Arabidopsis thaliana: one gene and its partners. The main gene of each other region encodes a partner of the protein of the gene in region 3 in a complex. Each region holds a gene or a part of one and is shown on either strand. Other genes may lie near its edges.

Evidence for each region.
Region 1: ATU2AF65A (region 3) and RS2Z32 share a complex: the UniProt entries of both Arabidopsis thaliana proteins name them as parts of the spliceosome.
Region 2: ATU2AF65A (region 3) and SCL28 share a complex: the UniProt entries of both Arabidopsis thaliana proteins name them as parts of the spliceosome.
Region 4: ATU2AF65A (region 3) and SKIP share a complex: the UniProt entries of both Arabidopsis thaliana proteins name them as parts of the spliceosome.

What each region holds. Positions count from the first base shown.
Region 1 is NC_003074.8:19,832,142-19,839,648, forward strand, and holds RS2Z32 (RNA-binding (RRM/RBD/RNP motifs) family protein with retrovirus zinc finger-like domain-containing protein), read right to left. Parts: upstream 4,948-7,507; 5' UTR 4,792-4,947; intron 4,374-4,791; 5' UTR 4,367-4,373; coding exon 4,260-4,366; exon of another isoform or gene 3,772-4,259; coding exon 3,732-3,771; intron 3,615-3,731; coding exon 3,519-3,614; intron 3,423-3,518; coding exon 3,229-3,422; intron 3,141-3,228; coding exon 3,039-3,140; intron 2,732-3,038; coding exon 2,416-2,731; 3' UTR 2,099-2,415; downstream 1-2,098. Other genes in the region: AT3G53490 (valine-tRNA ligase), read left to right, coding at 525-603, 728-903, 1,277-1,469, 1,654-1,883; ABCG20 (ABC-2 type transporter family protein), read right to left, coding at 5,161-7,380. UniProt on the Arabidopsis thaliana protein: Probably involved in intron recognition and spliceosome assembly.
Region 2 is NC_003076.8:6,267,424-6,274,659, forward strand, and holds SCL28 (SC35-like splicing factor 28), read right to left. Parts: upstream 3,903-7,236; 5' UTR 3,736-3,902; coding exon 3,560-3,735; intron 3,457-3,559; coding exon 3,379-3,456; intron 3,169-3,378; coding exon 3,004-3,168; intron 2,899-3,003; coding exon 2,840-2,898; intron 2,717-2,839; coding exon 2,677-2,716; intron 1,848-2,676; coding exon 1,662-1,847; coding exon of another isoform or gene 1,658-1,661; exon of another isoform or gene 1,602-1,657; intron 1,509-1,601; coding exon 1,502-1,508; 3' UTR 1,221-1,501; downstream 1-1,220. Other genes in the region: AT5G18800 (Cox19-like CHCH family protein), read left to right, coding at 1-68, 838-970; Cpn60alpha2 (TCP-1/cpn60 chaperonin family protein), read left to right, coding at 4,126-4,173, 4,250-4,400, 4,531-4,652, 4,773-4,980, 5,064-5,209, 5,332-5,638, 5,720-5,970, 6,132-6,335 and 1 more. UniProt on the Arabidopsis thaliana protein: Involved in intron recognition and spliceosome assembly. Probably active at the 5' splice sites.
Region 3 is NC_003075.7:17,292,144-17,300,409, forward strand, and holds ATU2AF65A (U2 snRNP auxilliary factor, large subunit, splicing factor), read right to left. Parts: upstream 5,586-8,266; 5' UTR 5,467-5,585; coding exon 5,353-5,466; intron 5,172-5,352; coding exon 4,885-5,171; intron 4,786-4,884; coding exon 4,687-4,785; intron 4,591-4,686; coding exon 4,517-4,590; intron 4,084-4,516; coding exon 4,007-4,083; intron 3,935-4,006; coding exon 3,887-3,934; intron 3,802-3,886; coding exon 3,742-3,801; intron 3,649-3,741; coding exon 3,588-3,648; intron 3,503-3,587; coding exon 3,390-3,502; intron 3,270-3,389; coding exon 2,823-3,269; intron 2,697-2,822; coding exon 2,561-2,696; coding exon of another isoform or gene 2,288-2,560; coding exon 2,220-2,287; intron 2,134-2,219; coding exon 1,996-2,133; 3' UTR 1,804-1,995; downstream 1-1,803. Other genes in the region: AT4G36680 (Tetratricopeptide repeat (TPR)-like superfamily protein), read right to left, coding at 336-1,574; AT4G36700 (RmlC-like cupins superfamily protein), read right to left, coding at 6,300-7,283, 7,440-7,520, 7,606-7,784, 7,870-8,194. UniProt on the Arabidopsis thaliana protein: Necessary for the splicing of pre-mRNA.
Region 4 is NC_003070.9:28,997,546-29,004,663, forward strand, and holds SKIP (chromatin protein family), read right to left. Parts: upstream 4,591-7,118; 5' UTR 4,419-4,590; intron 4,296-4,418; exon of another isoform or gene 4,120-4,295; 5' UTR 4,088-4,119; coding exon 2,246-4,087; 3' UTR 2,032-2,245; downstream 1-2,031. Other genes in the region: AT1G77170 (Tetratricopeptide repeat (TPR)-like superfamily protein), read right to left, coding at 588-1,991; AT1G77200 (Integrase-type DNA-binding superfamily protein), read right to left, coding at 6,812-7,118. UniProt on the Arabidopsis thaliana protein: Splicing factor involved in post-transcriptional regulation of circadian clock and flowering time genes. Associates with the pre-mRNA of PRR7, PRR9, ELF3 and GI, and is necessary for the regulation of their alternative splicing and mRNA maturation.

The DNA of each region.
Region 1 (7,507 bases), on a different chromosome or scaffold from region 3:
TTGTGTTCTCTTCTAATTTCTTATTATATATCTCTAGAAACTTTTTTTCTCAAAAGAGATTTCTAAACTGATATTACATATTTTTTTTTTAGTTTTTTTTTGTTGTTGTAAATTTTAGACATCTATTTTTAGACATCTATATTAAACGATTAAATATTTCATTATCATTATAAAATCATAATGTATTTATGTATAAAAATTCAAAATATACTACTTTTTGTTTAAAATTTTAATATTACTTCTGTTTGGCAAATTAAATAAAATCTTTCGAATAGTTGACATAGTATAAATTAGAGAATATAAATAAGAAAACCAAAGCGGTCAACACAAGAGGATCGGTTTGTTCCTTTCTTCCTCCTCGTATACGAATCAATACGCATTTCTCCAACTCCATAGCCAAAAGCTCGACGAGATCCAACAGCACCTCCTGATCTGCATCGTTTTCAACTTAGCTTCTCCTGTCAATCGAAATCCCTAATTATACATTGATCGGATTCAATCGAGCGATTCGAGAGAGAATCGCGATGTCAATCCAAATTCCGTCAGCTTCTTGGGATTTTCGCGGTTTCCTACTCTGTTTCATCTTCTTCAGCTCGTTACCAGGTAAATATCACAGAATTCTGAGGATGAGTGATTTTAGTTTCATTTTCGAATTGGGAAAGTGTTTTGTTGCTCGTGCAATAATAGATGATCATTGACGAGGATTCATTGTTTTGATCCCTAACAGGAACAATACTAACACAAGAAGTTACATTAGATTCGGTTCAGATTTTCACGACTCACGATTGGTTCTCGACTAAGCCTACAGTCTTTTTCCAATGCAAAGGAGAGAACAAGACGGTGTTGCCTGATGTGAAGAGAACCAATGTTTCTTACTCTTTCAATGGCGAAGAATCTTGGCAGGTTTGTCTTTTGTTTCCCGAAATGTAGCTCAGATGATTTGGTTTTGATTATGTTGTTGAATTTCAAAGCTCTAGCATGAATTTAGAAATTTGGTTTGGTTTGGTTTTGATCTGAAACCAGGAAAAAAAGAGCTGCCTTTACTCTGGTTCTTAGCGATTGACTTATTTTTTTGGGAATGTGTTAGGGATATGGTTTTGGTTGCTGAATCTGCTCCAGAATTTAGATCTTAGTTTCGAAATGGTAGAGGGGTTCTTCATCTGTGAAATCTACTTAACGTGCAAACAAATAGGTTGTCTTATGTTGAAGGTGATCATCAATTTATTATCACTGTCTTTGACCTCTATGTTCTGTTCTGTTTTTGATTTTTTTTCAGCCACTAACCGAACTTCAAGGAACAAAATGCAAGAGATGTGGAATCTATGAGGACGACCCTCTTAAATATGATACATTTGACGAATGGGAGCTTTGCCCTTCTGATTTCACAGCAGAGGGTAGTTACAAGCGCTTCAAAGAGAAAGAATTTAATGCTACTTTTCTCTGCCATGGATGCTCACAAGTTGGAGCTGGTGAGTTTTACCAAGCAACACATCTTGAGCTTTAGGGTCATTTATTACTGTTTTGCCATGAATACTGTTTCAACTATAAACGGAATCTCTTTCACATGTATCTCTGTTGGCTGTAGCTTCAGTTTGAATCTGTTCTCTGTGATTAGGACTATCATATTCATATGCATTCTTTTTCTTTTGGCAGGTTCGAATAAAGAATCAGGCACCGAGAAGGAAGAACAAAAGGGCGGAATGCATCCTGGAATTGTGGTACTGATTGTAGTACTCTTGTTAGGTGTAGTTGCGGTGGGACTCTTGGTAGGTTACAAGTATTGGAGAAAGAAGAAACGGCAACAAGAGCAGGCCCGGTTTCTCAAGCTGTTCGAAGATGGTGACGATATTGAGGACGAACTTGGCCTTGAAAATACCCTATGAAGCCAAGTTTAATGTGCCACAGTAATTCAAAGTTTATGTACATACATACAAAACGTCTTGATCCTCCTCACAAGCATTTTTGTTTTTGTCGGACATAGAGAGGAAAGGGGTACAATGATACATACAAGCAGTTGCTTCATCCAAAGAAAAGTCAATGTTGTTATTTCTTTTGTCATAACTGTTTAACAATTAAAGAGGCTAAAAGAAACCCAGACTGCGATAGTTAAATCCTTTTTCCTTTACTTACCAAATTTTTTTTTTGCCAAAAAAGACATTACGAGGTGCTTTATTCTTTACTAAACGATCCACAAGCGAGAATTTCATAAATGCATGATTCTTACTAAACAATGAAAAGTAACATCGCAGAGTTTGAAAGTTGTCGGAAAACAAACCAAGAGTCATCAAGAGAGAAGGCAAAGTAACATCCAGGATTGTCACGCAACGAAAAGAAAAGTATCACGCAGAAAGAAAGGGAAAGGAAACAACATCCTTCAGTACAGAATGCTACATAGAGCTTTTAACCTGTGAACCATCAAGGTGACTCACTGCCTTTAGGGGAAGGACGGCTAAGCTCAGCCTCATCATCAATCGGGCTCCTGTCTTGACCATTAAGTCCAACAGGACTTTCACCACCTCCAACAATGGGACTCGCAGAGTTCCTGCCATTACCATTCTCTTTTGGGCTACCATCATAGTCTGATCCACGCTTTGGGCTTGCATCTATCACTTTTCGGTCTGGACTCAGGCTTTGGTCCCTACCTTTGGGAGATACAGATCGCTCCATTGCCTTAGGACTGCGTGATCTGTCCTCCACGCTTTTCTCTCTTCTCACTGGGGATCGCGATCGACTGATGAACAGAGAAATAAAGAGTCAACCAAAGGGCATAAGCCATGGAATTAGCGTTGTCAACATACTTAATAGCTACAAAGTACGAATCATTTCTACAATATTAAGGGAAAATAGTTGTCTACGGGACATGCTTAAAGATCAAACTAATATAGTTCCAGAAAAAGCTCAGAATTGCTCTAAGCTTTTTACCCCACATATGAAGCTCAAAATATGAATTTCTAGGTAAGTTTTTTGGTGGCTCTCCTATTGTATTCCGTATTTGCATTTATAAGACAATTTTCGAGAAGTCCAAATTCACAACTGACCTGTAGCTGCGACCTCGACTGTAACTACGGCTACGGCTTGGGCTCCTTCGGCGACGAGGGGAGCGGGATTTGACTGGTGACCTGGAATAGCTTCCACCCTGCCTGGAGAATTATAATCCAAAAGAGATATGAGAAGAAGCTTAAAGAATAGAACAAACTGTGGAAAAACAAAGATTCAAAGATTTAGTACCTGGCCTTCTTTGGACTAGGACTGTTTTTGCAGTTTCTCTCAATGTGTCCTCTTTCACCACAGCGGTAACATTTATTCTTCCAGTCTCCTGCTGTGCAGTCTCGGGCCCAGTGGCCATCGACACCACAATTAAAACAGCGACCAGAACCAGGAGGTGGGCCTCTGCTACCATTGTCCCGCGAACCACGAGGAGCCTATCATAAATTCAAAAGTTTGGCAAGATATCAGTAATTTTTCATCCAAATTATCAAGCCAATGGAGAATCGGTAATACAGACACAAATAACTAACCCCTCTTGATGCCTCCACAGTGATGCGACTTCCATCGAAATCCCGTCCATCCAAGTAATATCTTGCGTCATCAGCATCACGAGGATCACTAAATTCCTGTTCTCAAAATGTGAGGGACAATGATAGATGCATAACATATATATAAAGTTTGTGCGCATGACAAACTTGAGAATCAAACGCTTGAATAAAGGAAAAGGGTAATATAAGACTTACAACAAAGGCATAATCACGCTTCATATCCACATCTCGTACTCTGCGTAAATTGTTGCCAGAAAATCAAGGCCATCATTACTTAAGGAACTTCCAAACACCAGTTTTTGAGATTTGAGGCCATTTCCAATAAAAACATGCAATAAATCAACAAACAAAATCGCCGATGCACCCTCTATACACCAGACGAGAATTTCCACCAATTACACCACAGTCCACCCATTCATCAAACATCTCCAGGTTAGGCAAACCCCCAGAAACCTTCAACAAGATCATTCAAGTTAAAGAAAAAAAAATCCACTAAACCTAGCTCCACAATTTTCCCACATGTACCAATGCAACGTTATAAGTAAAAACTACCCTCTTTGATTCTAATGTTAAACTTTAGGTATATATCCCCTGCACAACATCAAAGAGGAATCATTCCAGATTCACACCAAAGAACAATTAACAAAAAATCCAAACACTTATCTCCCCAAGAATACAAAAGTCAAATTAGGTCAGTCAAGACAAAGGAATATGACTCTTTACCTTCCGTATCTGCTAAAGAGACGCTCAAGGTCTCTGGTACGAGTTCTAGATGATAAGCGACCAACATAGAGGCGAGTGTTTCCATAGCGATCATCATAGCGAGGCATTGTCAAGCTGCAAAATATTTTTAACATAAGCTATTAGGCACATATGTATATATATATATATATATGCCAATCACAAGAAAAAGAATAACAGTATCCTCTTCAAATTATATAAACAAGAAAAAGACCAGAGAGTTAAAACACTACCTCAGACCTAAACATAGAACCCATGTGAATATCTATGATTTTTCAGCAGAACACAAATCCAAAAACAAAGAAACCAAACTGAATAACACATTCAGAGGCGAAAAGAAGAAAATTTCGTGAGGGGAGAATATAAATCTCTAATCAGATTAGACAGAAGGAAACCTATAAAGGAAATCTACGGCGAGGAAACGAGAAACCAATTGAAATCCCTAATCTAGAGAGCGAAGAACAATAAAATCGTAACCCTAAACAGATCCAATTACAAAGATTCTTCCTCGTACCTGGAGAGACGAAGAAGGAGAGTGCAAATACGCAGTAACCCTAATAATTTCGAAACGAAGGAAGTGAACCGCGGATGATACTGCGATTAGTCTTCAACCCCTATCTTATAACTTGGAAACCGACGAGATTCAACGGTAGCGATTTGTTTCAATCAACGGTTTAGATTTCACGGCGAGATAAACGTCGATATTACCGATATAGAAAATAGAAAATTGCACACTTTCCAATTTAGTACTTTTATTGGGCCTTATATCAACTCTAAAGCCCATTAAAGATTTAGCAAACATATGCAATTTCGTATTAATCATAAGTATTAAGTACATCATAATCATTGGTCAAGTTACTCTAATAATTTTCTGTTTTGTAAATCAGCGACGCTTGTTCTTGCTTCCGATCAAGAGTGTGAAGTAGAAGAGAACCCTAAAGAAGAATCCCCAAGCTACAGTGATCCACAAGCAATTCCATTTGCTTATCTCCGTGATTCCTTGCTGTTTCAGTATATCGATTCCCGTCGTTACGCAAGTCTCCGCCGTCACGTTGATCCCCAAAACGCCGCTCATGCTCTTCAGGAGGCTGATTTTCACGGCGGTTGGAACTTGTCCCAGCGGCGAATTGTCGAACATCTGGATCCCTCTGACGAAGCATTTCGTCGGATCTTCGAATTCGTTCTGTAGAACACCTTCGTAAGGGTATTTCACTAGGGAGAGGTAATGGAACCAGATCCAGTAGAGTGGGATTCGATCTCTAGAGATGAAGAATCCGGAGAAGAGGAGGAAATAAGCGAGGATTGCTACAACCACCGTGAATCCGATCATCACGTGTGAGACTACGCCGGATAAGAACGTCACGAAGGAACTTCCGGCCCAAAACGCGGTGAGGATTGTGAAGAAGAAGAAGAGGAATCCCTCGGAGCCTCCGGCGAGTCCTACGGCCGAGAATGTTGAGGCGGCGAATGCGGCGGATAAGATTATGAGAGCAGGGATGGAGATTATTGTGTGAGCGAGGACGTATGATGATCGCCGGTAAGCGTTGTAAGCTGTTTCTCTCATGAATATGTAACGTTCCTGTAGAAAGACTGGTATTGCTTCTGCACATGTGTAGAATGTTGTGGACATTGCGAATGCGAAGAACCCTAAGCGTTCTTGTATACCTCTTGGTGAATTGTCTAGTTTCCAGAATATTGTGGCTAGGATCATTCCGGTGACTAGTACAGCTCCTAGGCGGATTCCGAATAGCTCTGGTTGTCTTCTTGAGTTTAGTATAGATCGTTTACCAATTACGAGCATTTCAGTCCAGAATGGGTTTGCAAAGGTTTGAAATGATGATCTTAGGTTTGTTGCTCCGGAGACAAGCTTACCTCTCGAGATACTTGCGCTGATTGCATCTTTGAGAGATACATTGGTGTTTCTTCTGCTCTGGCTTGAGGTTTGCTTTGCTCGCCATTGCTTGTGGAACTCGACTAAGGATTTCGTTCCTTCTGGCGAATCTTCCAGCTCACGGATAAGATCGAGTGCAAACTCCGGCTTGTTCTCGTTTTCAGGAATTGGGTGACCGAATTCTGAGAAGAACTGAGGGAGGTGTGTCGGGGAGCCGCTGTAAACGGTGTTTCCCCTAGATAGGAAGATTAACTTATCGAGTAATCCCAAGATTCTGTAACTCGGCTGATGGATGGACATGATAACTATGCTGCCGCTTTGTGCGATTCTCTGAAGCACTTTGACAACCATGTATGCACTGGTAGAGTCAAGACCAGAAGTTGGCTCATCGAGAAAGAGAATAATCGGGTCATGGATTATATCGGTTCCAATTGAGACCCTTCTCCTTTCTCCTCCAGACACACCTCTGTGTCCCTCATCACCGATCACGGTTTTTGCTGCGTTCCTCAGGCCGAGCTGATCAATCAGAGCTTGAACCCGTGCCTTCTTTTTCTTCTTAGAAAGCGAGCTTGGAAGCCTGAACTCAGCAGAAAACATCAACGTCTCTTCCACGGTGAGCATCGGGAAGAGAAGATCATCTTGCATCACATAAGCTGATATGACTTTATGCAGGCTAGATTCAAGAACTTCCCCATTTAAAGTAATATCACCGCGTAGGCTCTCTTTTGAAATCCGATTGGCTAATGCATCGATAAGCGTTGATTTCCCTGACCCGCTCGCTCCAAGAACAGCCATCATCTCTCCTTCCCGGGCTTCACCAGAAATACCATTCAGGAGCACCTTAGTATTCATCTCCATATCATTACCATCAAAAGGTGAATTCCCACAACAAGGAAAGGGCTTAAACTTCTTCTTGATCTTCACGCTGTAAGTCAAGTCTTTGAAGGAAAGAACAAACGGAGAAGAAGAAGGCACACGAGAAGACGGAACCGAGGACCAGAAATTGGACGCAACCGCAATATCCATAGCCCGACTCTGGTCATCCCCCTCATCTTCCACACTCATGAGAAGTTCTGCAAGTGTGACAGACACCCGCGCAGTGTCTCTGTGACATCTCTGAAGCTCCACTGACTTGTGGATATTGTAAAACAGAGGGAGGCCATCGCCATTGACCCGTTTGGCCGGAGATAATATACCGAACAAACCAGACATCACGTGAATTATTGTCTGGTTAATGTTTTGGCCTCAGGTAATGTGTCTAAAGGTCTTACCCACAGAACAATTTTGATCGACTTTATAGGATATTTGGATGGGAGAATGAGGGAGAAACTTGTCAATT
Region 2 (7,236 bases), on a different chromosome or scaffold from region 3:
AAGAATGATCCAAACCCAGAGAAGTGTCTCGACAAAGGTCGTGACGTCACTCGCTGCGTGCTTGGCTTGTACGTATCTTTAGCTCATTATATTTTCCTTCTACTTTGCAAGTTTAGTAGTTTTGGCTTTGGTTTTGGTTAGGAAGCCTCGAGTATCAAATGGTTGATTTAGGATTCTAATCATAGAGTGTAAGCCTGGGATTCAGAAATGAGACCTGAATGAAGAAACGATTGGGTCTCTGGATTTCAAGAAATTAGGAACTGTAGGGACTTTGATCACTTCTTTTGTGCTAAACTAAGTGAGCCAAAGTATCTGACTATAGCTGTGACAATATCGTGGAATCATCTTAGCAATGGGCATGAGACCATAAAAAAAGCACACTTAAGTAGTTATGGAAGTCATAGGTTGAGCTTAGATCAGCCATCAAATCGTTTTTCATTGAGCTCTGGTTTTGTATATGCTTTAGAGTTCAGACTGTATTTCATGGAGGAACTATCTATTACACTCAGACATATTACAATCTTTGTAGAAATTGGGTTGTTTCATATATCCTTGCTCTCAGATGTTGGCCAAGTAGAAACAGTTTCATACCACAACTTCTCATGGTTTTTTCCTCAACTTATAAGCCATTAAGAAGCCATTTGCTTCCCTAAAAATGTTGGTCTAAGACTTAGTTGGATGTGCAGAAGTTGTTTAGTATGATGTAATCCTCTAATAATATCAATATAAGAAGACTTTCAGCATCATCGAGATCGTAGATTAATAATGTTGGGTCCACATGCAGATATTATGTTATTTCTTCGGTAAAGCATTAAATTTGTTGTATGAATTATGCAGGCTGAAGGATCTTCACCAGAAGTGCCAAAAGGAGATGGATGATTATGTTGGGTGTATGTATTACTACACAAACGAGTTTGATCTGTGTAGGAAAGAGCAAGAAGCCTTCGAGAAAGTGTGTCCCTTGAAATGAGAATCACAAGTTCTTGTCATGTTTTGATTTGTATCTCATAATAAAGCAAAATGTTCATTTTTGAATGAGCTTTACTCTCTCCATCTCTTGTTTGTTGTCATCCCATTTATTTCCTCTCAGATGCTTTCGTAGTGAGTTCCAAAGACAACTAAATGACTCAGTTTTATTGTTCGATGGTTCACTAATCAGCACAGAATGGAACAATTGTTTTTATCTGCTTATATTCTACCATACTTGACAGTATACTAGTAATTTTGTGACTAAAAACTGTTAGAGAACCATATCCAACAGCTAGGATGTCTTGCTATGATCTTGTGGTTATGCTTGTGGATATTGGTGAAACATTGAAGGTTTGTTACAAAACAGAGAATGGAACTTAAGTTGGGTTATCTAAAATGAAACAAACAAACAAAACAAAAAGAGCAAAAATATTTATAGTAAAACTTCAGATTCCTCTTATGTTTCACTAAGGAAGTTGCCTACTTCAAAGCCAAAATAGTATTATAGAAAGCCATTCCTTCTTCTTATTTATCAACGACTGCAACAAAACACCATTCATCATCAGTCATCACAGATGTTAATAGAGATAGAGTTGGATGTGAGTGAATCAAACTAAATGTCAATGGCGCTAGCTCTAGTCCTTGATCTAGAGAGGCATTTAGATTAAATAACAATGCAGCTATTTATTTACCTTAAGGATCGAGAACGGGACCTTGACAGACATCGAGACCTGATTGGAGTAAGCACCCTCTCCTCTCTAGGACTTCTACAGTTTCTAGACTTGTATTCCCTCTCATTTCGAGGCAAAGGAGAACGTGAAATAGATCTTGACCTTCTTCGAGGAGAGTACAAATCATCCTCTCTTACTTTACTATGCCTGTGCTTGTGCCAGTGAAAAAGAAGAAGATTAAAACGGCTTTTACATACTGAGACAATTAATTTTGTTCTAAACATACAATACAAGAAGAATGAAAACGTATTACTAATGTTCTTCAAATGGCTTTTGTTCCTTCTCACGCTATAACTGAGAAAAGTTGTTTCTTTATCTAATGACTACCTTCAACACATTTTCTGGAAGATACATTTATAACTTGAAAGATCTCTTCTCTCCAACTTTTCTGGAGCAAAACGCTCCAAAATCTCTCATTTCTCCGAGTTTATGGAACAAAACCTATCTTTAATCTTGTGAAATTTCTCTACTGTCCACAACATTGAATGGCTCTATTTCTCCAAATACCATTCTTTCTTTGGCCACTATAAGTCTATTCATTCATTATTTGACCGGATGACAAAATGGCATACGCAAAACAAAACACAAGTCAAGCTCAATTCAGTACAGATAGTACCTACAAAACTCTCTTGCTAAAGTTATAGATAACTTGTTGACCAAGTGGTATTCAAGCTCTAGCTTACCAAAGCTGGTGAAGATGACATTTGGTGAAATAAGTCTTCAGGTTCAGATTTTAGGAAAAACAGACACCCTAATAAACATTTTTTCTACAAGACTTATCAACCTAGACGTGTCCAATTTGTGCCTTGTCATTGTATTATCCACACACAACTGACAGACAATCTAAGTGACTAGGAACCAGTGCCGTTTGCATTCACATGAGCGAGTTCCAAGAATAAATAAAGAGCCTTATGAAACAGAGAGTCATCATACACTATTATAACAAATGCCTAATAGATATAGATGAGAATCAAACCTTGACTCTCGCCTTGGAGGCGAACGCGAACGTGAATGAGCTGATGACAAGAAAGGACATAGTTAGTAAACATCACAGGGTACATAGGTATTGTTCTAACCATACACTGCAGTTGTCCTGAGACATATCAAAAATGTTAAAAGCAAACCAAAAAGCTACTTACAACGATATCTGCGCCTTGGTGATCTGTGTGAAGTCCTCTTGTAGTCCCCGTGTCGACCACTATATTAAACGAAATAGGATTTGGAAGTAACTAAGATAATTACTTACAAAACATTTACATTCATATAAAAATATGATACAAACACAAGAAAACGGACTCTTCACCTTGTACCGTTAGTAGTACGCATTTCTTGTGGAGTTTTCCGGTTCTCCTCAGCGAAAACAATGGCTATCTCACGCCCACCAATAACTTTGTGATTCATTCGTTTCATTGCCTCAGCTGCATCTTCAGCATAACGATACTTAACAAATCCAAACCCTCTCGGCTCCCTAAACCACAAAATAATATCACATTAAAGTTAAGAGTTCCTACTCAACAAACAACTACTTGAACTGACACCAAAAGTTACCAATCAAATTAGTCAAGAATCCATACACATTGACAATGTGACATTGTTAAGAGAAATAACCAGTAAGCTAAAGCTAAGCTAGGAAATAGCTAAAAGCATCTGATTATAAAAGACAAAGCTTGACATATACCCAGTATAATAATTCCTAGGCAGGTATATGTCCTTGAGTGGACCAAACCGTTCAAACGAATCCCTAAGATCGTTCGGCCTGAAAAACAAGAAAACATTCCAAAACTCGTGTCAATTAATCAACATTAGAGAACTTGTGATGTCCTTGATGGAATCTGAACAGTAGAGAAGGACGGAGAGACCTAGCATCGAGAGGGAGATTACGGATAAGCAAACCAGAAGGACCAGAGGATTCGTGATCACGAGAAGACGGACGTTCGCGGAGGCGATTATCGTCGTAGCCTTTCCGTTCGCGAGGTGGTGACCTGTCACGAGGACGGGGACTATAGCTTCTGCTCCGGCTTCTCGCTCTAGCCATCGAAGATTTCTCTTCCTTAGGTCTTCTTCTCAAACAAATCCAATCTTCGGAGCAATTGAATAGCAAAACCCTAACCCTGTCGGAAAACGAGTTAGAGAGTGAATTTTGGAGGGAGAGAGGAAGAAATCGACGACTGTGAAAGTTTTTCAAAACACAACACTTGCCGGAAGCTGGCTACGGTCTGACTTTGTTTGTTAATTCTTATGGGCTTTCAAATTTGCAAACTATGGGCTTATATAAATCAAAGCTTTAAAGGCTTTGTGTCAAAGTTGTTGACAAAAAAAAAGAAAAAACTCGTACCTTGACTCGTCCGGTTCCAAAAACTCGGTCACCCAAAAATAAAAATCAAAACCCTTCGATAAACCTCCCGGAGGAGAGGAGACACCCGAAATGTTCGCCGTATCACCGTCGTCATTCTCGCCGACAACCATTTCTCCGGTGAGTTACAATTCTTCTTCTCGCCTCAATTTCTTTCCCCATAATCTTCACGTTCTCTCGCTCTTGCCTCTTGTAGCGCCGTAGTGGACAGAGGAACGAACCTCGAAAATTCTCGGTGGTGAGAGCTGGAGCTAAGAGAATACTATACGGTAAAGATAGCAGAGAGAAACTCCAAGCCGGAATCGATAAGTTAGCTGATGCTGTTTCCATCACCTTAGGCCCTAGAGGTTAGTGAATTAGATTTCGATTTTGGCTACGATTTGAAGTTTTTTTCCGGGCAGAATCTGATTATGAGCAAACCAACCCTTCTCTGGGATTTCGAATTGATTTTTTTTCAATGTGGAAACCACGACGCAGGGCGTAATGTAGTGCTTGCTGAAAAAGATACAATCAAAGTGATTAACGATGGTGTCACCATTGCTAAATCTATTGAGCTTCCTGACACTATTGAGAACGCTGGAGCAACATTAATCCAAGAGGTTATTCATATTCATGGTGGCTAAATGATTCCCCTTCTTTTCCCCATTGTTAGTTCATTCTTTGAGCTCTAAATGGTATCAATTAGTTATCTGAACCTTGCGAGTTTCTATCTTGTGTAGGTTGCGATTAAAATGAACGAATCAGCGGGTGACGGGACAACCACTGCAATCATTTTGGCTAGAGAAATGATCAAAGCTGGTTCTTTGGCTATTGCTTTTGGAGCTAATGCTGTTTCTGTGAAGAATGGAATGAATAAGACTGTTAAAGAGTTGGTCAGGGTGTTGCAGATGAAAAGTATTCCTGTTCAAGGGAAGAATGATATTAAAGGTTACTTTATACTTATTACTAAATAATTATGATCCAACTCCTGTCTTAATTTTGAAATAATAGGGATTTTTTGTGTTCTGTAGCTGTGGCTTCAATCTCTGCTGGTAACGATGAATTTGTGGGGAATTTGATTGCTGAGACTGTGGAAAAGATTGGCCCTGATGGTGTCATCTCCATTGAATCATCTTCCACTTCAGAAACGTCTGTTATAGTTGAGGAAGGAATGAAGGTTAGTTTCAAACTTAAGTTGGATGTTTTAAAGGCTTCACAATGGCAGTTTCACACTTACCATTGTTAACATTATCAAACCATTGAGTTTCTGTGATTCATGAGGAAATTTCTTTTGTACAGTTTGACAAGGGCTATATGTCGCCTCATTTCATCACAAATCAGGAGAAATCTACGGTGGAATTCGACAAAGCTAAAATTCTTGTGACGGATCAGAAAATCACTTCAGCCAAAGAATTAGTTCCGTTACTGGAGAAAACCTCACAACTGAGTGTTCCGCTCCTTATAATTGCAGAAGATATCTCTGCGGAAGTGCTTGAGATACTGGTGGTGAACAAGAAGCAAGGTTTGATCAATGTCGCAGTTGTGAAATGTCCAGGAATGTTGGATGGGAAAAAGGCTTTGCTACAAGACATTGCACTCATGACAGGTTTTTCTCAATCATTTGTACTTTCCAAGTAAATTTTTACTGAAAATTTTCAGGTGATAACATGACAAATCATATACACAGGAGCTGATTATCTTTCCGGAGATTTAGGCATGTCGCTCATGGGTGCAACTTCAGATCAGCTGGGTGTTTCTCGTAGAGTAGTAATTACAGCTAATTCAACAACTATAGTCGCAGACGCTTCTACTAAACCAGAGATTCAGGCAAGAATTGCTCAGATGAAGAAGGATCTAGCTGAGACAGATAATTCATATCTTTCAAAAAAAATAGCAGAGAGAATTGCTAAGCTCACAGGAGGCGTGGCTGTAATAAAGGTCCGATTTTACAATAACCCATTCTTTGTTTATAATATGCTGCGACAACTTGGGCTTTCATCAGAACATAATTTCTACCTAAGTAAGAATAAAAAATACTGTTTCAGCTCTTGATATTTCTTTTGAGTCCTATATATCAGCTTAACCCTGTCTCAATATAGGTTGGAGGCCACACTGAAACAGAACTTGAGGACAGAAAACTAAGAATAGAGGACGCGAAGAATGCTACATTTGCAGCCATGAGAGAAGGTATAGTTCCAGGTGGTGGTGCTACTTATATCCATCTTTTAGATGAGATACCGAGAATCAAGAAGAATCTAATGGAAGATTCATACGAACAAATAGGTGCAGATATTGTAGCAATGGTATGAAAACGTAATGACAAAACAAAACATGTTTTCTTAACCATACTGGATTCGTAAAGTAACCTTTTAAGAGTGAAAAATCACTTTAATTTTTTTGTTTGCAGGCACTCACTGCACCTGCAATGGCCATAGCAACCAATGCTGGGGTTGATGGATCAGTTGTGGTGCAGAAAACCAGAGAACTCGAATGGAGAAGTGGTTACAACGCAATGTCTGGAAAGTATGAGGATCTTCTAAACGCTGGAATCGCAGATCCTTGTCGGGTTTCAAGATTCGCCCTTCAAAACGCAGTTTCCGTTGCCGGCATTATTCTCACAACTCAAGCAGTACTCGTGGAGAAGATCAAGCAACCTAAACCTGCTGTTCCTCAAGTTCCTGGCATACCCACATCATAACCAACCACCACCAAAGGTAACAAAGAAGCACAAAAACCAAACTCTCTACTGCAGATTTTGTCAGAATCTAAACCTTTGCTCACAAAGTGGTGTTTAATCTTGTTGTGTTTTAACTAAACATTAGAATCTGTGATGCAATGGTATGTGCAGAGTGAAAGAAAAAAAAGATTGTTGGAATCATTGTTGCTTATTGTGTTAGCTAAGCTAGTAGTTAGCCTCAAATTTCGGAGAAAGCAAGAAAATGCCTTGTAATGCAAGATTCTTACGCTGTAAGCCCTAGTTGAATGTGTATACGGACATCTTTTATATTATTTTCTTTTGTCAGTTTTGTGCTTAGAAAGCGTCATCAAGTCTCAATTATTATGCAATTTCATCTTATTAAACTTTTGTAGCCTATGTGGTTATGTCGAGACGTATTTGGAGTAATTCAATACATTAAGAATAAGCTCTCAATCGACAATCAGTAGTTTTTATCTCCAATTGAATTACAGAGATCGAACTCGGGT
Region 3 (8,266 bases):
TACCAAGAAACAGAGTTTAGCTATACCAACAGAACCAGCTTGACCCTTTAGTTGCAAGTAGAAGGATATGTAAAAACAACATAAAACTGAAAGAAACTTGAATTCATCATGAAGCACAAGTGTGTAGAACAAAGCAGTGAACTATATGAACCTGAAAATTGTTGACTATGGAATTCTAGAGATTCCAACAACAAACCGTCAAGCTTTTACAAGCTAATTTATGAGGAAAGAAAAATGCAGGAGCAGCTTATAAATAAACCTGCATACTAGATCATAGTTTTCAACAAGTCTTCAAGCAACAAAATAAGATGTTCAATCGAAATGCTCTTGAGCTATTAAGCAGCAGCAGCCTCTTTTGCAGAAGATGGAAAAGCATCGGTTTTTGAATACAGCCCGAGTTCCTCCTCGAGTTTCTTCCACGCATTCAAGAAACTCGGAGGGAATTTCTTCTTCACCGTTCTAATCAACCCTTTAGCGTCATCTCTTTTCTTGTTCTCCACCAATCCCACAACCAAATGCTTCAAAGTGTTGAAATCTGGAATCTTGTGCATATACACACTCTTCTTGAAGATCGCATAGCCTTGCTCGTACAATCGGCTATAACAAAGATGAAATATCAATGTCCTAAAAGTAGCTGCGTTGGGAGCACAGTTGTTACCTTCAAGTCCTTCATACACTTTCTTAGCTTCGTCCAACATTCCTCTCTCACAATACGCAGTCATAAGATAGTTATAGCTAATCGTATCAGGTTTCAATCCCATACTACTCATTTCTTCAATCAACTCCTTAACTCTTTCAGGGCTTTCCTTTTGAGCACTCATTATACGAACATTATACGCTGCATTATCCAATTCACAGCCTTTCTTCACCATCTCATTCCACAAGTTATCAGCTACCTCGAGCTCACCTTTCTTATACAATGAACTCAAAATGGTGGTGAAAGCAATGGTAGTAACTTCCATGCCTTTACCTTGCATCTGTCTCATAATCTCAATGGCTTTTTCAGGGGTACCAGAGTCACAGTATGACTTAATCAATATACCGTAAGAGATTTTGTCAGGGATGATCTTATTGTACCTCTGAGGAATTTCGTCGAACAGTTGGGGGACTTTATCGAAATTCTTGGAATGGAGACAAGCGTTGAGCAAGGCGTTGAAGGAAACAGCTGATCTGGGTGTGCCGTATTGATCCATCTGCTCGAAGGTTCTCATGGCGTGATTAAACATAGAGGCTTGGCCGTAAGATCTGATAAGCGTAGAGTAGAAAGGTTCTTCTTTGATTTTGGGATCATTTTTGTGGGATTCAATTAGGGTTTCGATGTCTGAGAAACGGCGACACTTGGCGAGGCGACGAACAGTGAGCTCTTGGGCGTAGCGAGATGAAACAGGAGAGGCTGAGTGATCGGAGACATTGGCGTAGATCTTAAGAGCTTTGTCGGGATCGTGTTCTTTCCGGAGAGTGGACTTAGCTTTGGAGACAGAGATTTTGCCTGAAGAGGGAGCGGTGGTCGTACCGTCAGCGGCGGCTGAGGCAAATCGGCGAACAAGGCGGAGAGAAATACGAGAAGAAGCCATTTTGCAGAAATGGGTATTGTGGAGAGTGGTGGCGAGAAAAGGAGACGCCTTTAGGGTTTTAGTGGCTTAACAGAGATTTTTGGGTTTTACAAGTTTGCTTCTTTTTCTTTCTTTTTTCTTCTATCAGAAGAGAACCAAACTACTTGAATATTTCAATAGAGAGAGTACTCAACTTCTTGTGTTGATTTAGAACATATGTCACATTTACGAGAGACGAATGATGTTTTACGAGGGACTCATGATGTTATTCTGTGAATAATTTTTGAGATAAATATTTAAGAAATAGACCAAAGATATGAGATAAAAACGTTATAATAAGCAACGTGTCGATAATCTCATACTCTTACAATCACGCAAAAGGGTCTTGAAACTGAAGCAAAGTACTTAACTTTTAAGTAATAGAAAGCAAACAAAGAAGTGATCAGGCTCCATAATCACCCTGTTCAAACTTGTCTTCAGGGTAATACACTGCAACGACTTCATTTCCTCCAAATTTCCTACCATTCATCCCGAATCTTGCCCTAGTCGAGCCATCTGTATCGGCATACTTCAAAAACACCTGCACATTAAATATATCAGACAGTCAGATTACGACTAAATAGAAATATACAAGAAGTAGAGAGAAAGAGAGAGAGATAAGTTTACCTTGCCAAGGCCTGCCACTGGCTCACCATTGGGGCTTGGACGCGGAATCACAACATTGGTCAAAGCACCTGCATTTTAAGAGTTAAAGAACAAAACATTTCGAATACAAGACAAGAAAACACAGACAAAAACAAGTCAGTTTTTTCTTTTAAGAAATAGTGGCCATTGGTGATAAATAGATTAGGAGGTTTATGCAGTCTCCTGTCTGTGTATGTTAGGGCTGATTCTTTATAGCAAAAGGCTGTAAAACAGCACAACCAAGAAAACAGAGAGACAGATCAATATGCTTTTAATCTTATATTTCAAAATAGACCATATTGCGCAATTAAGAGGTCTCTTACCAAACTTTCCGCCTTCCTGTCTCATGTCTTCCATTATATCTCCATACTCCTCATCATCTCTAAGCTCATCCTCAGTAACAACTTGAGTCAGACACACCACAGTGGTTGCCACTGCACCAGGCTGTAACATAACCCTCTGCAAAAGATAAAACCATCAATCAGTCTTTTAATCTTATAAATGGAAATATTCAAGTTAGGTCTCAACACGTTTTGCAAGCTCATTTTGTTTTCTTCCAATATTATTAAGAAGAAAAAAAATTACCTGAAAAGCTATTTGCTGCTGTGCATGCAATAATACGTTCTCTTGTTCAGGCTTTTGTAGCATTGTTCCCTGGTTGGCACGTCTCACTGTAAGAGTCTTATCTCCCATCTTGATACCATTTAGGGCAGCGCACGCGATATCTGTAACAGAAAGATCTTGGTACACACAAAAGGCATATCCTTTAGAGTTCCCTGTTTCTCGATCTTTTACAAGATCAAAGCCCTTGAGGCCTCCAAAGGACTCCAACAACTCCCTCACTTGTGATTCCGTGAAGTAATATGGAAGTCCACCAACAAAAATACGATCTGGTCCCTCAAGCCCACCAGAAGCACCTGGAGTCAGACCAACAGCAGCTAAGTTTAGATGGGGACTGGGCTGGCTTGGACCAAGAGTCGCAGCTAGAGATGGGTTATAGTCACTAGGTCTCCTCACCTTCACCGGAGCTCCCTGGAAAAGAAAAAAAGAAAAAGAAAGATAAGCATTCAGTTGGGTAACCTATATACCAAAGAAATGCCAGTACTAAAACTCAACCAAATATTTGGTAGTGCGGTAAACATTAAAACATACCTCAAATATAATCCCATCCAAAGACATAGCGTTACTTGCCTCTTCAACAGATCGCATCTCCACAAAAGCAAACTTCTTCTCGTGGTTTATGTAGACATTAACAACTGCATCACCTGCGAGTAAGAAAAAAGATTTATAAAAAAAGATTAATCCAAGTATCATAATAGACACTCTAGCATCTGCACCAGGATTATGTACCTGGACCAGCAGTGTTTCCACCAACAGCAGCCATAACTTGACTAAAAAATGTAGCCACAGACTGCAAATACAAAATAATAAATCAATGTTAGTATCATTATTTGCTGAAACATATTTCAGTGGGAGAAAATGAAAAAAGAAAGTGGATAATAACCTGTTCATTTGCCGTAGGGGAAAGCCCACCGACATAGACTCTGCGAGCATGTCTAGTTGCCTGAAGACACAAAGTAAATAAGGATTAAATTAGAACAGAGAAATACATAGTATCTTGCGTATATCCATGATAAATAAAATCTAACCTGCTGTGTCATAGCCTGAATTGGCATCATAGAGAGTCCCCCAAATGACTGTAGGACATAGACGACTTAGTTCAAGAAAGACATCAATTAAGAAAATATTAAAAGGGAAAGACCACAGACCTGTCCAGTCGGCAATGGAAACATGTTGGGAAACATTCCAGCCCCAGGAAGAGTTGGTGGAGCGGGAGGAACTTGGCCTACAAAAGAAAAACAGGTTAATACATAAGAAAATTACATATGAGAAAACCTAGTTTACCATCCCTGGAAATGTATTGGTGACATCAAGAGGTTTAAGTCTGCATGGAAAATTTTTGCAAGACTAACAAAACCAGTGATATGTACTGAGGATGAGCAATACCCATACGCAGTAATTCTTCCTTGTATATAAGAGCTAACCAGCCCACACCCAGTGTTGCCTTACCAAAACAGAAAAGCAAACAAGAGACACAAAGACCACCAAACAACCAAAAGCTCTCAGTTCTAGCGTTATGTCCCAAGTAAAAAAAGAAAGAAAACAGCCTATGTTTTTGTAGTTATTCAGGAGAAACAGATTTTATCAATCCCAGTACGTGTATTAGGTATGAATTCTACATTATGCTAATGAGAAGGTGCTAAATTAAAGAGATATACCTGTAACAGCAGCACCAGCAGCTAACATTGCAGAGGCTGGAGGTGCCATATCGAATCCACTGACTCGCTGCTTACTGCAACAACATATATTGAGTGAGGTTAGAAACTTTCTTAGATTGAAGCAATTACTTCATAGAAGAGTAAGTAATCCAATGAGAAAAAAATGCTACCTTTTCGATGGAGATCGTGACCTTGTTCTGCGCTCAGATCTATCCTTTGAACGAGATCGAGATCGACGACTGCGTCTTCCTCCTCTATCATCTCTCCGCCTAGAAGAATAAAAAATAAGCCAAATCAGTACCTTCCATAAAATCAAAAAGGATTCAATCTAAATTGAAAATGTATAATTCAATTCAAGAACAGTCTACCTATCATGGTCACGATCACGGCTTCGACGGTAATCATCATCATCCCTACCACCACGTTCTCTTCTTTCACCACGCTCCCTGCTATGATCCCTGTGACGACTACTTCTGTGATGACGCTCACGATGATCTCTGTCTTTGTCTCTACTCCTCTCCTTGCTTTTCTCTCCATCTCTATCCCTGCTTCGGCGAGAGACTTCAGAGTCTCTTTCTCTGTCCTTATCACGACCCTTCTCTCTTTCTCTATCTTTACTTCTTGATGTCTCTCTTTCATGGTCACGCGATTCTCTCTGCACATGTAAACACACCCAAAACCTCATCAATTACAGTTTAAGAATCAATGAAACAGAAGCAGCTTTAAAACTAATCATCTCATAATTCGATTCTCAATTCAATCCAATTGCTAGGAAATATAGATTCGAAACTCCAACTATAAGCTAGGAGATTGAAGATAATCAGGGGGGAAATTACCTTGGGTTTCGAGTCCAATTGATCCTCGATTTCGCCGTCGCGGCCACCATTCTCTTCGTCGTAAATCGCGTCAGCAACCGTACCGTTTCCCTCGTGATCTTCGAATTCAGACATCTTTTCGCCGGAATCAACGCTCTCTATCTCTTTCTCACCGGAGATAAATTTAGAATCTGTTTCAGCCGTCGAGATTCGAAGAAAGGGGTGGATGCAGAAACCAAACTATTTTAGGGCAATTACGGATTATTCTATTTTTTTATAGCCAACACGGGACCTCCTGTGAGGGTATTTTTGTAAATGTCATATAAAAACAGGCCGGTCCAAATCTGATAAGGCCCATTATTCAGCGCATCCGGTCCAATAGTTGGCCCAATTCGTGTTTGGGATAAATCTACTTTTTGAGAGTTTTATGAATTTGCCTTTTCAAGATATGGCCCAATCTGTGTTTGAGATAAATTTGCCTTTTATTCCAATATCTCTTGCAACAACAAGAGAACAGAGCATGGGAAGTTGATTGCATTATCTACGACTCCTCCGTTATCACCATTCAAAACTTTAATATGCCGAAGCTATAGCAAGAGGGTTACAAATACATTATACAATTGTAAACCAAATGACATAAGTTAGCAAGTACGACTACTACTACAAGTGTATAATAAACCACAGAGTTATCAATAACAAGAAGTAACGTCGTCACTCAACAGTCTCTCGGAAATATTTACTTATTTCTCATTTACCATCTACAAAGATTTAAACAAAACAAAACATTATACAAACACAATACAACTTTAAACATGGCAACAACAAAAACAATGCAAAAGTACATTAACAAATAAACAAGACTATGGAAAAAAAAAGTTACAAGAGAGGTCAGAACCAAAGTTCTAACCACTAACAACAAACCAAACACACTCTTGACGTACGTTGGCCTTCTCTTTTACTCCTCCGGCTTAACTCTCCTCTTCACCTTCCATTTCCCATTCTTTCTCCATCGGTAGTTGCCGTTCCCTAAGTTCTTCTTCTTGTGGTGGTTGTTGAGGTGGCCACCGCTTCTTCTCTTCTTCTTCTTCACGTTTCCTCCTCTCTTCCTCTTCTCTCTTCGCCTCTTCTTCTTCTTTCTTCCTTTCATCATGTCTCCTCTTCCTCTCATCATCTATTTTCTTCCTCTCTATCTCCACCTTAAGCTTCTCTATCTCTCCTTCCGCACAAGAATGACATTCCAAGATAACAGCTTCCTTCTGAGCTCCCAACAATCCATCAATCGTCACACTACTCACATTAAGCGATGCAGCCAATACTTGCCGGTCAAGCATCCGCAAAGCCGAGTCCTCCCCGGCTAAGAACTGCGGCTCGTTATTCTTAGCTGAAGTAGTAAACCCAACGAACACTAACGAGTCATTGTTGAAAGACATTTGAGCCATTGGATGTAACCGTGGAACTGCGAAAATATCTCCTTCCTCTACTTTAAACCTCACGTTCTTACACTCTGATGATGTGTTTGATGATATCGAAGACCTAAGAACCCTAACCATTCCTGCTCCTTTCAATACAATCGAAATCTCGCAAGCCCATGGATTCCAGTGCGGTCCCATCATCGATCCTTGAGTGAGATTCACCATGGAAACTCCAACCATTGAGCCTTTTAAAACTTTCAGATCCTTCCTGTTAATCGTTATAGTACGACCGTAGGGGCTCTCGAAATCCGGTTCAGATTCGAAAACATTGAATGTCTTCGCTTTCTTCACCTTCTCCTTCTTCTCTTTCTTCTCTTTCTTCTTCTTGTTATCCACCAAGTCTGCACTTCCAGCAAAGAGCTTTAGTAATCGCGGTTGGAGCTGCCAAGTGTTGGCCACACCTGGTGTGCAAAGCGTCTCACTCACGATCAATGGTGGCTTCGTACGGTTCCTCATCAGCTCTATAATCCCCTCAGGAACCTAATTAAAACCATTGAATTTAATATATCACTTAATACAACCCAAAATATCCTCTACTAGAGTAAGTTGGGAAGTAAGATATACACAATTCCTATCTTGCTTCCCAAGTAAGATATAGACAATTCGTAACTTATTCATCGGCAGATTAAGACATACCCCAAAAGCTGACTGGAGAATTGTCTCATCAAAACCAAACATTAGATCTGTGATACTCGAATAGGCACCAAAGCAAGGATCCTGCATCCATGGAATACAGATACAATAAGAAGAAGAAAAAGATGTCAAGAAAGTGAAAAAAGAAAGAATCATATCAAACTTATACATGTAAACACTCATCGTTGTTGGAGAAGATTGCGTAAAGCTTAAGTTTGGTTCCAAGGAAGATATCCACCGGTTTGCTCTGTAAGTAGAAAACCGAACCGGGACGTAGCCTGTAAACGTCTCCTAGTCTGATCTCGGTACTCTTCGCTTCCTCGTCAACCCAATTCAGAATCCCACTTCCTATACAAATCACAATCCAATTTTGACCTAAACCGAAACTGATCTGTAAACCAAACCGAAGAAATTTAAACAGTTTATTATGTACCAGAGTCAACGAAGAAGACCATGTCGGAATGAAGAAGAAGAGGGAGCAAAATTGTGTTTGGCTCCAACGTTATGGAATGTATCTTGTAAGGTCCCATTCCACCGCATCCATTGCCGATTTGAACGGTTGAGATCTGTCCAAACTTCGTCTCGAAGATTGGTTTCCATTGATCTTTCTTAATCAGAAGAGGAGACGAAAACCCGCAACATGAAGGCACAGCGACGTCGTATTCTTCAGACTCCTCCGACTTAGCCAACGACTCAGTGCAGAGGAACAAGAGAACGAGAAGAAGAACAGAGAGTGGCAATACCGCAAATCTAGTCATTGTGCTCTGTTTTTTTTTTTGTTATTCAATGCAAAGCGTATTAAATCGTAGTATCATATAAAGGAATGAGAG
Region 4 (7,118 bases), on a different chromosome or scaffold from region 3:
AGATAGTAAAATATTATTATGACGATTTTGAATCTCTAGGATATTATAACGGTAGTAATAATCCAATGATTTACAACATTTTGATTTGAATGCTATCTAGTCATCTAGAATTTAAATTTTTCATATGGTGCTATACTAATAACTCGTAAAATAGTAAATTAGAAGCCTAAACTTGCAATTAGGGAAATTAAGACGGGCTAAAAGCGTGTGGACCCTATCTTTTTTGTTTACATAATTTTTGCTTTGAAATTGGGTCCTACCCGCTGTCAAAACAATTCCTGGGTCCCGCCTTGTTGTTTTCCAAAATGAAATCAGTAAACCGGAAATTGAACACATTAAACCGGAAGCCTTCAATTAGTTGAAATCGAGTTTTAAACTCCTCTCGACATGATCTTGATGTCGGAAATGACTAGCAAAATTGCCAACACGATATCTGAGTACTTAATTTACTAAATCTAAAACTGCAATGTCAGGTGTTGTTTCTCAGTGAGTGAATAAAATAGAAGGATTAAGGATCTAATTAGAAAAATTATCTTGATCTTCTTTGTTATGATGTTACATTTTTCGAACATGTAGAGAAACAAGTTTCAAAATGTCGTTGAAGCATAGCTATAGGCAGGAATCTTAGCAACCTTCTTCGTCTTCATCAACTTCCTAACTCTCTCAACATCTTTCCACATCCCTCTGAGTGCATACACATTAGCCAAGACAACATAAACACCATCGTTCCACGGCTCAAGCTCAACCATGTATGGAGCCACCCACTCAGCCATCTCAACATCCCCAAACTTCTCACACCCTCCCATCAAACAACCCCAAACCATCACGTTAGGCTTCATCGGCATCTCCTCAACAACTTTCTTTGCCTCCTTAAGCTGCCCGTCACGGCTCAATAGATCAACTATGCATCCGTAATGCGATAATCCCGGTTCTAGCTCGAACTCTGACTTCATCATCGCAAAATATGTTTTTCCTTCCTCCACAAGACCTCCATGGACGCAAGCACTGAGAACTCCAACGAACGTGATCTTGTTTGGTCTGACACCGAATTCTCTCATCTGACGAAAGCATTCTAAAGCCTCTAATGTATTCCCGTTAGCTGCGTAACCCACGATCATAGAACTCCAAGAGACAACGTTTCTCTGTCGCATTTCCTCGAATATGTGACTCGCTAAATCCATACGCCCACATTTTCCATACATATCAATGAGCGAATTCAGCATCATGATATCAGACTTCTCTTCGGTCTTAGCTTGTAGAACGCATTTATGCAACTGAAAAGCCAAGCTCAAGTCACCTAATCCTCCACAAGAAGCAGTCACACTAACCATAGTGAAATCATCAGGCTCAAGTCCACTCCTTTTCATATCCACAAACATTTCCACCGCCTCGTTAGCTCGACCAGCGTGATTCAACCCTCCGATAATGGCGTTCCAAGACCCCAGCTTTCTCTCAGGATTTTCATCGAACACCTTACGTGCGTTCTCAAATTCCCCTGCTTTACAATACAATGTAATGAACCCACTCTCGCAGAACTCATCTCCGACGAACCCTAACCTAACGGCGACGGAATGAAGCTCCTTTCCCAACGTAAAATCATGAATTTGAACGGCTGCTTTGATTACAATCGGAAGAGAATATCGATCGGGTAAAACAGTCGATCTCACCATACCGAGATATACTTGAATTGCATCGAGAGGAGACTCATGGCGAATGTAAGATCGCATGATGTTGTTCCATAAGAAAGCGATCGGATATTGATCGAGGATTCGTGAACGGAAGATGTCACCATGGATCCGACGAACACGAGCTAGGCTAGTGCAGTTTGATAACAGAGTAGCTAAGAGTTTGTTTCGATCTTGAGGCGAAAGAGGCGTAACCGAGGAAGATGATGTAGTGACGAAATGATTCAAACGGTGAAAGATCGTGAAGTGATTTGTTCTCTTAGTACCATGAACATGAAGCTTGGAGATAAGACCAGAGAAGAACATGTGTCTTTTTTGTTGTTGTCCTGATTCAAAACTAAGATTCTTAAGTACACAAAGTTGTAACAGTGAAAAAGAAACTAAAATAAGCTCAAAAGATCTGATATTATGAAGCTGAAAGATTGTATTCGAGTAGTTTAAGAGACTCACAACAACATAAATACTGATAATCCAAAGCAAACTGTTTTAACAGATCCAAAATAACAAGTTATATATTGAAATCAAAGATCAGTTACTGAGCTTTTTCTTTGTCTTGACTTTTAACGCCGGTCACTGCGTTCGAAATTGATCTTGGTTCGACCAGAACCGCCGTGGTCATCGTCCCTTGAAGAGCTACCACCACCGCCACTTGCTCTCATAGTTCCACCAGACCCGATCTTGTCCAAAGGTTTCTTACCCTTCTTTAAATCAGAAACCCACTTCTCAAGACCGAAAGGATCTTGTTCCTCTTCCTTCTCAAACTCAACAGGTCGGTCTCTCTTACTACCCACCCTCTCTGAAGCCCCTGTGAAAGCTTTGTCAGGCTTAAACCTCTCAGTATTCTTGATCTTATCGAGCTGCTCATCAGCGTTTCCATACATTTCTTCATCGTTATCCTTCTTTGGCTTGTACAAAGTCGAAAGAGTTGGTTGTGCAGTGAACAAGCCTTTGTCGTATAAGTTGTATTGGTCATCAGCAGCGAAACCAGAGTCCATTCCTTTGTCTTGGTTAAACAGACGTTGATCATACATAACTTCACCACCACCTTTTCCTCCAGTAGATGCCATTCCAAGAGCAACTTTCTCACTGATGTCACGGTCTCTGTCTCTGGTGATCTTGCTCTTCTTCCCCATGGCAGCATCTTTGGCATCCAACCTTCTCTCCCTCTCTCTTTCCCTGCGACGCTCTTCTCGTATCTTTTCTCTCTGAATCCTTTTTTCCCTCTCCTCCCTCGTCTCTTGAGGCTCTTCCCTTTCTCTTTCCCTTCCTCTATCCTGGTCATAGTTGTCATAATCACCTCTTGGGTCAACACTTTCACTCCTACCCCTGTCAGATGAGACAGGCATACTCATAGCAGCACCGGTTCTTTCGGAGCGAGCTTTTTGGGCAAGAGCCCTCAATTCCTGCTCTTTCCTTTCCTTGTCCTTCATCACCATCTCTTTTTGCACCTTGGAACGCATTGAAACAGCCTCTCTAGCTTTCTGCTCAGCTACATAGAGGGCCTCTGATAACTTGGCAAAGTTATCATTGATCTGAACGTCTTGTAGGCCCCTTCCATCAGCAGCTAGACGTTTGTCAAGAGGGATTGTGTAACCTTTCGGATTCTTCCAATTGGAGATACAAGGAGGGATTTTCCAGTCTTGCTGGTCCTTGACGGTAACAGGCCTGGGCGGTGAATGCATGACCGGAACAGGCGGAGAACCAGAAGCCCTTGGGACTCTCTTGTGCTTGAACTTTGGTGGATCAAGTGGATCTACAGGCATCTCCACCATCCTAATGATCCTCTCTTTAGCACCAGAATTGAAGGCAGAAGATTGCTGGGATGGCTTATATTTAATGTACTGTGAATCTCCCGATTGCCTTGCTATATTACTAGGCTGCGCTGCACTCAGTCTCACATTCACAATCTTCTCAATGGCAGCTTTCGTTTCTTCAGCAGTCTCCTGAATCTCCTTCTGCAATTCCTCCTCTTCATCAACAACAGTACCCAAGTCTCCCTCGTTTTTCAGAAACTTTGGAATAATATCCTTATGCTGAGAATAAACAATCTTCCTCGAGTTCTCATTCTGCCTCACTATAGCGTCAAAGACCACGTTTCCCTGAGCATCGACAGTAACAGGGAGAGTCTTAGCTCCAGGCTTATTGGATTTATTCTTACCCATAAGAAGAGGATACTGAGGAAGATGAATCTCCGGGAAAGCACCACCATCGCCAAAATCCTCTGGATTCTTCGGACGTAAACCTTGACGATTCAGGTAAGCAGGCACCACTTTAAATTTGATACTGGAGGATTTCACCGTCTCGGATTCAGTGACTCGGTTTTTGAACCAAGCATCATTAGAATGATCATAATACGTGGTAGTGGTTGATTTGGGCGCAGGAAGATCATTAAGAGACTTCATAGTCTAAATCAAGGTTTTCAACAAATCGCAACCTGCAAACAAAGAACAATAACGATCAGGACATACCTAATCCGTAATTACAACAACAAGCTTCTGATAATAAAAGTGACAGATCCTCCGAAATTAGGGTTTTCTAGCGATAAACTCGACGCGAGCATTAGATCCCGAATAATTCCGATTAAAATCTGAAAAATCTGGGTTGGATTCACTACAATAGAGCGGAAAACAAGTAGGGTTTAGGAATCGCTGAACATAGAGATCGACAAAAACCTAAAAACAACAGGAGGAAAGCAAAAAGCAGAATTGAATCTGAGAAATCGAAGAAGCTAACCTCTGAGGAAACTAATCGACGGGAAGAGAGATTCTGAGAAAGGTGAAACGATGTGCGAGGCGGCGCAGACCGATGAAGAACAACGAACGGAAGTGAAGCCTTTTTCTGGGGAAAAAAGAAATCGGGCGTGAAGCCTTTTCTAGGGTTGATAGGATTAACAACAAAAAAAAGGAATCAATTGTCTTATACGCAGTGTCTATGTAAGTCGGTTTAAAAATAGACGAAAAAACGAAAAGGATAACGTCGCCTGAGAGATTCGAACTCTCGCGGGCAGAGCCCATGTACTTAGCAGGCACACGCCTTAACCACTCGGCCAAAGCGACTTATTGTTTTTAAATCGAAGAAAGTTATATATATAACTATAGGTGTTGGCTTTTTGATATATACAACAATTCTGAGCATCTCATAATTATTTGCATTGTCCTTAATGAAAATCCGTCTCAAACACATTCCCATAGTTTCGTTTAAAATACTGAATTCAAGGTTAAAAGAAAAAAAAGTATAAGAATTTGGTGTTGGTACATCTCAACTGGTATACTGTTAAACCACCTCGAAAGGGAAGGTGAAAAAGTTCAGAATTCAAGTACCAATAGAGGAAATACTAGTTAGGCTTTGGTTTGTCTATCAAAACTCAAAGCAAGTGTAAGTTTCATATCAACAAACTTTCTTCTCTTTCATTTTTTTATAAAAAAACAATAGATTGATGGCGTTAGTTTGATATTTAATGAACCAATTTATGTTTTTCTAATCAACAACCAATTTGTTTGATATAAGGTAAAGAAACAAAAATGATATGAATGAACTACGTAGGCTATGTAAATAACGACTACGAGAGAGACTTAAATGTATGGTGAGAAATATTATTAAACATATATGTGGCCATGCGGGATAATGGGAAGGTTAATGGTTTTGCTTCTATGGAAACAACGGCATGGTAGTTAGTTTCCAGTTTTGGTGGACAACTTGGCGTGGTTGTGTTCAACGACAAACTATGGTCCTTGACTCCTTGCATTACACAACTCAAAACTCGGAATATACTTGAGTATATCATATGCATACAATTTTCAACTTTTTCTGTTAAATCGATTCATGGATTAGATGAACTATTTTGAGGGCTTTTCAGCATTCGATTAGGTTAAACGGCTGTTGCGATTATTATTTGTTTTCATAGGAGCTTATGCTATGAACAGTAATCATATAATCATTTGTATAAAAGTGTCTATTTCTGATCTAAGCACAGTAATTCATATTTGTTTAACCCCAAAAGCAAAAAATCATACATCCGTATATATATTTGAGAAAGGAAAAAACAAATAAAGACCGTGCTCGTGGGTGGAACCTCCGTTGACCGCGGATCCCAATATAATGGCCTTTTCCTACGGGATAGTTAGATGCATTACTAATTAACGTAACAATTAATTTTGATTCAAATCAATGTACGATGATTATAATAAATGTGTTAATTTAATCAACTTATGAGGCCGGTGTTGATTGATGTTTTCGTTGAGAAGACTCACCCAATACTTAGTTGATTTAACATTTTTTTTTTTTTTTTGTTACAAAGGTATTAATTTCCCCATCTAAGGATTGCGTATGAAAAAATATTTGTTCAAACATAATATAAGTTCGTTTTACAAAGATTAAAAATGAATAAAAAAAAGGTTTTAAATTTCACATCGTTGGATTTGCATATGAGTTAGTGCATGGACATGTTAAATTAAGGGTCAAGCCATTAATTATGTCTGACTAATGCAAACAAAGTCAAACAAGAGGAAATGATAAATAATCCTTAACCTGCAAATTCGTTTTGGTAGAACGATAATCTTTTACTTCTCTGGTACAAATTGTTTTTAATTAGGGAAAGAAAATGAGTTTCTATTTTTCTTCTCAAAAGTGTATTTCCTAAATATTGCATTGTACTTGTATTTCTCATTCACTGTAAACAATAATTTAAATTGAAAAAGTTGGTTATATGAAGCTAACAGTAGAAATTTTGTGAATTAAATACAGAGGGTGATAATAAATACCAAGTTGAAAAGATTCAATATATGTCAACTAACAAACCATCTCAGATAATACTTTTATCTACCGCTACTTTGATATAAATAGTTTAATTCTCAAATGTTCACCTAAAGTATAAAAAATGGTCACCTAAACTATATAAGTTAATTAGCAAAATATAAACAAAAAACCATTTATCGTCCAATCACAATTGGCGTGTTCGTACAAAATATCTAGAAGATCCGATCAAAAAAAAGAGAGCAATAAACATTATATGGTACTATCAGGTTTAATCAAGTATATTAAACTCTGGTCTGAATCCAATAATTAAATAAACTTCAGAGGTTTGGAGGCTAAATGTTTTTAAAAGAAGAGATTATTTAAAAATAAAACTAAGGAAAAAGGGGGCCAAAATTGGAAGAGTCGAAAGGTTCAGCCATCGAAATGCCATTTTCGTCGCTGTGGTAATAAAAGCTATAACAATTATTAATATACCAAGGCGAACTAGGTGGATACGCCGAGTCAACGTACACAAACTCGCTCAATGACTCATCGTAACTCGTCTCTAGACTCGGTAACTCCACTATCTCGCTTAGTTCTTCCGCCGTCGACGCAGCTTCTTCGCTTGACGGTGACAACGACGATGACGTACACGTTGAATAGCTCGAGGAAGACAACTGCGTCTCAGCTGGGGCGATG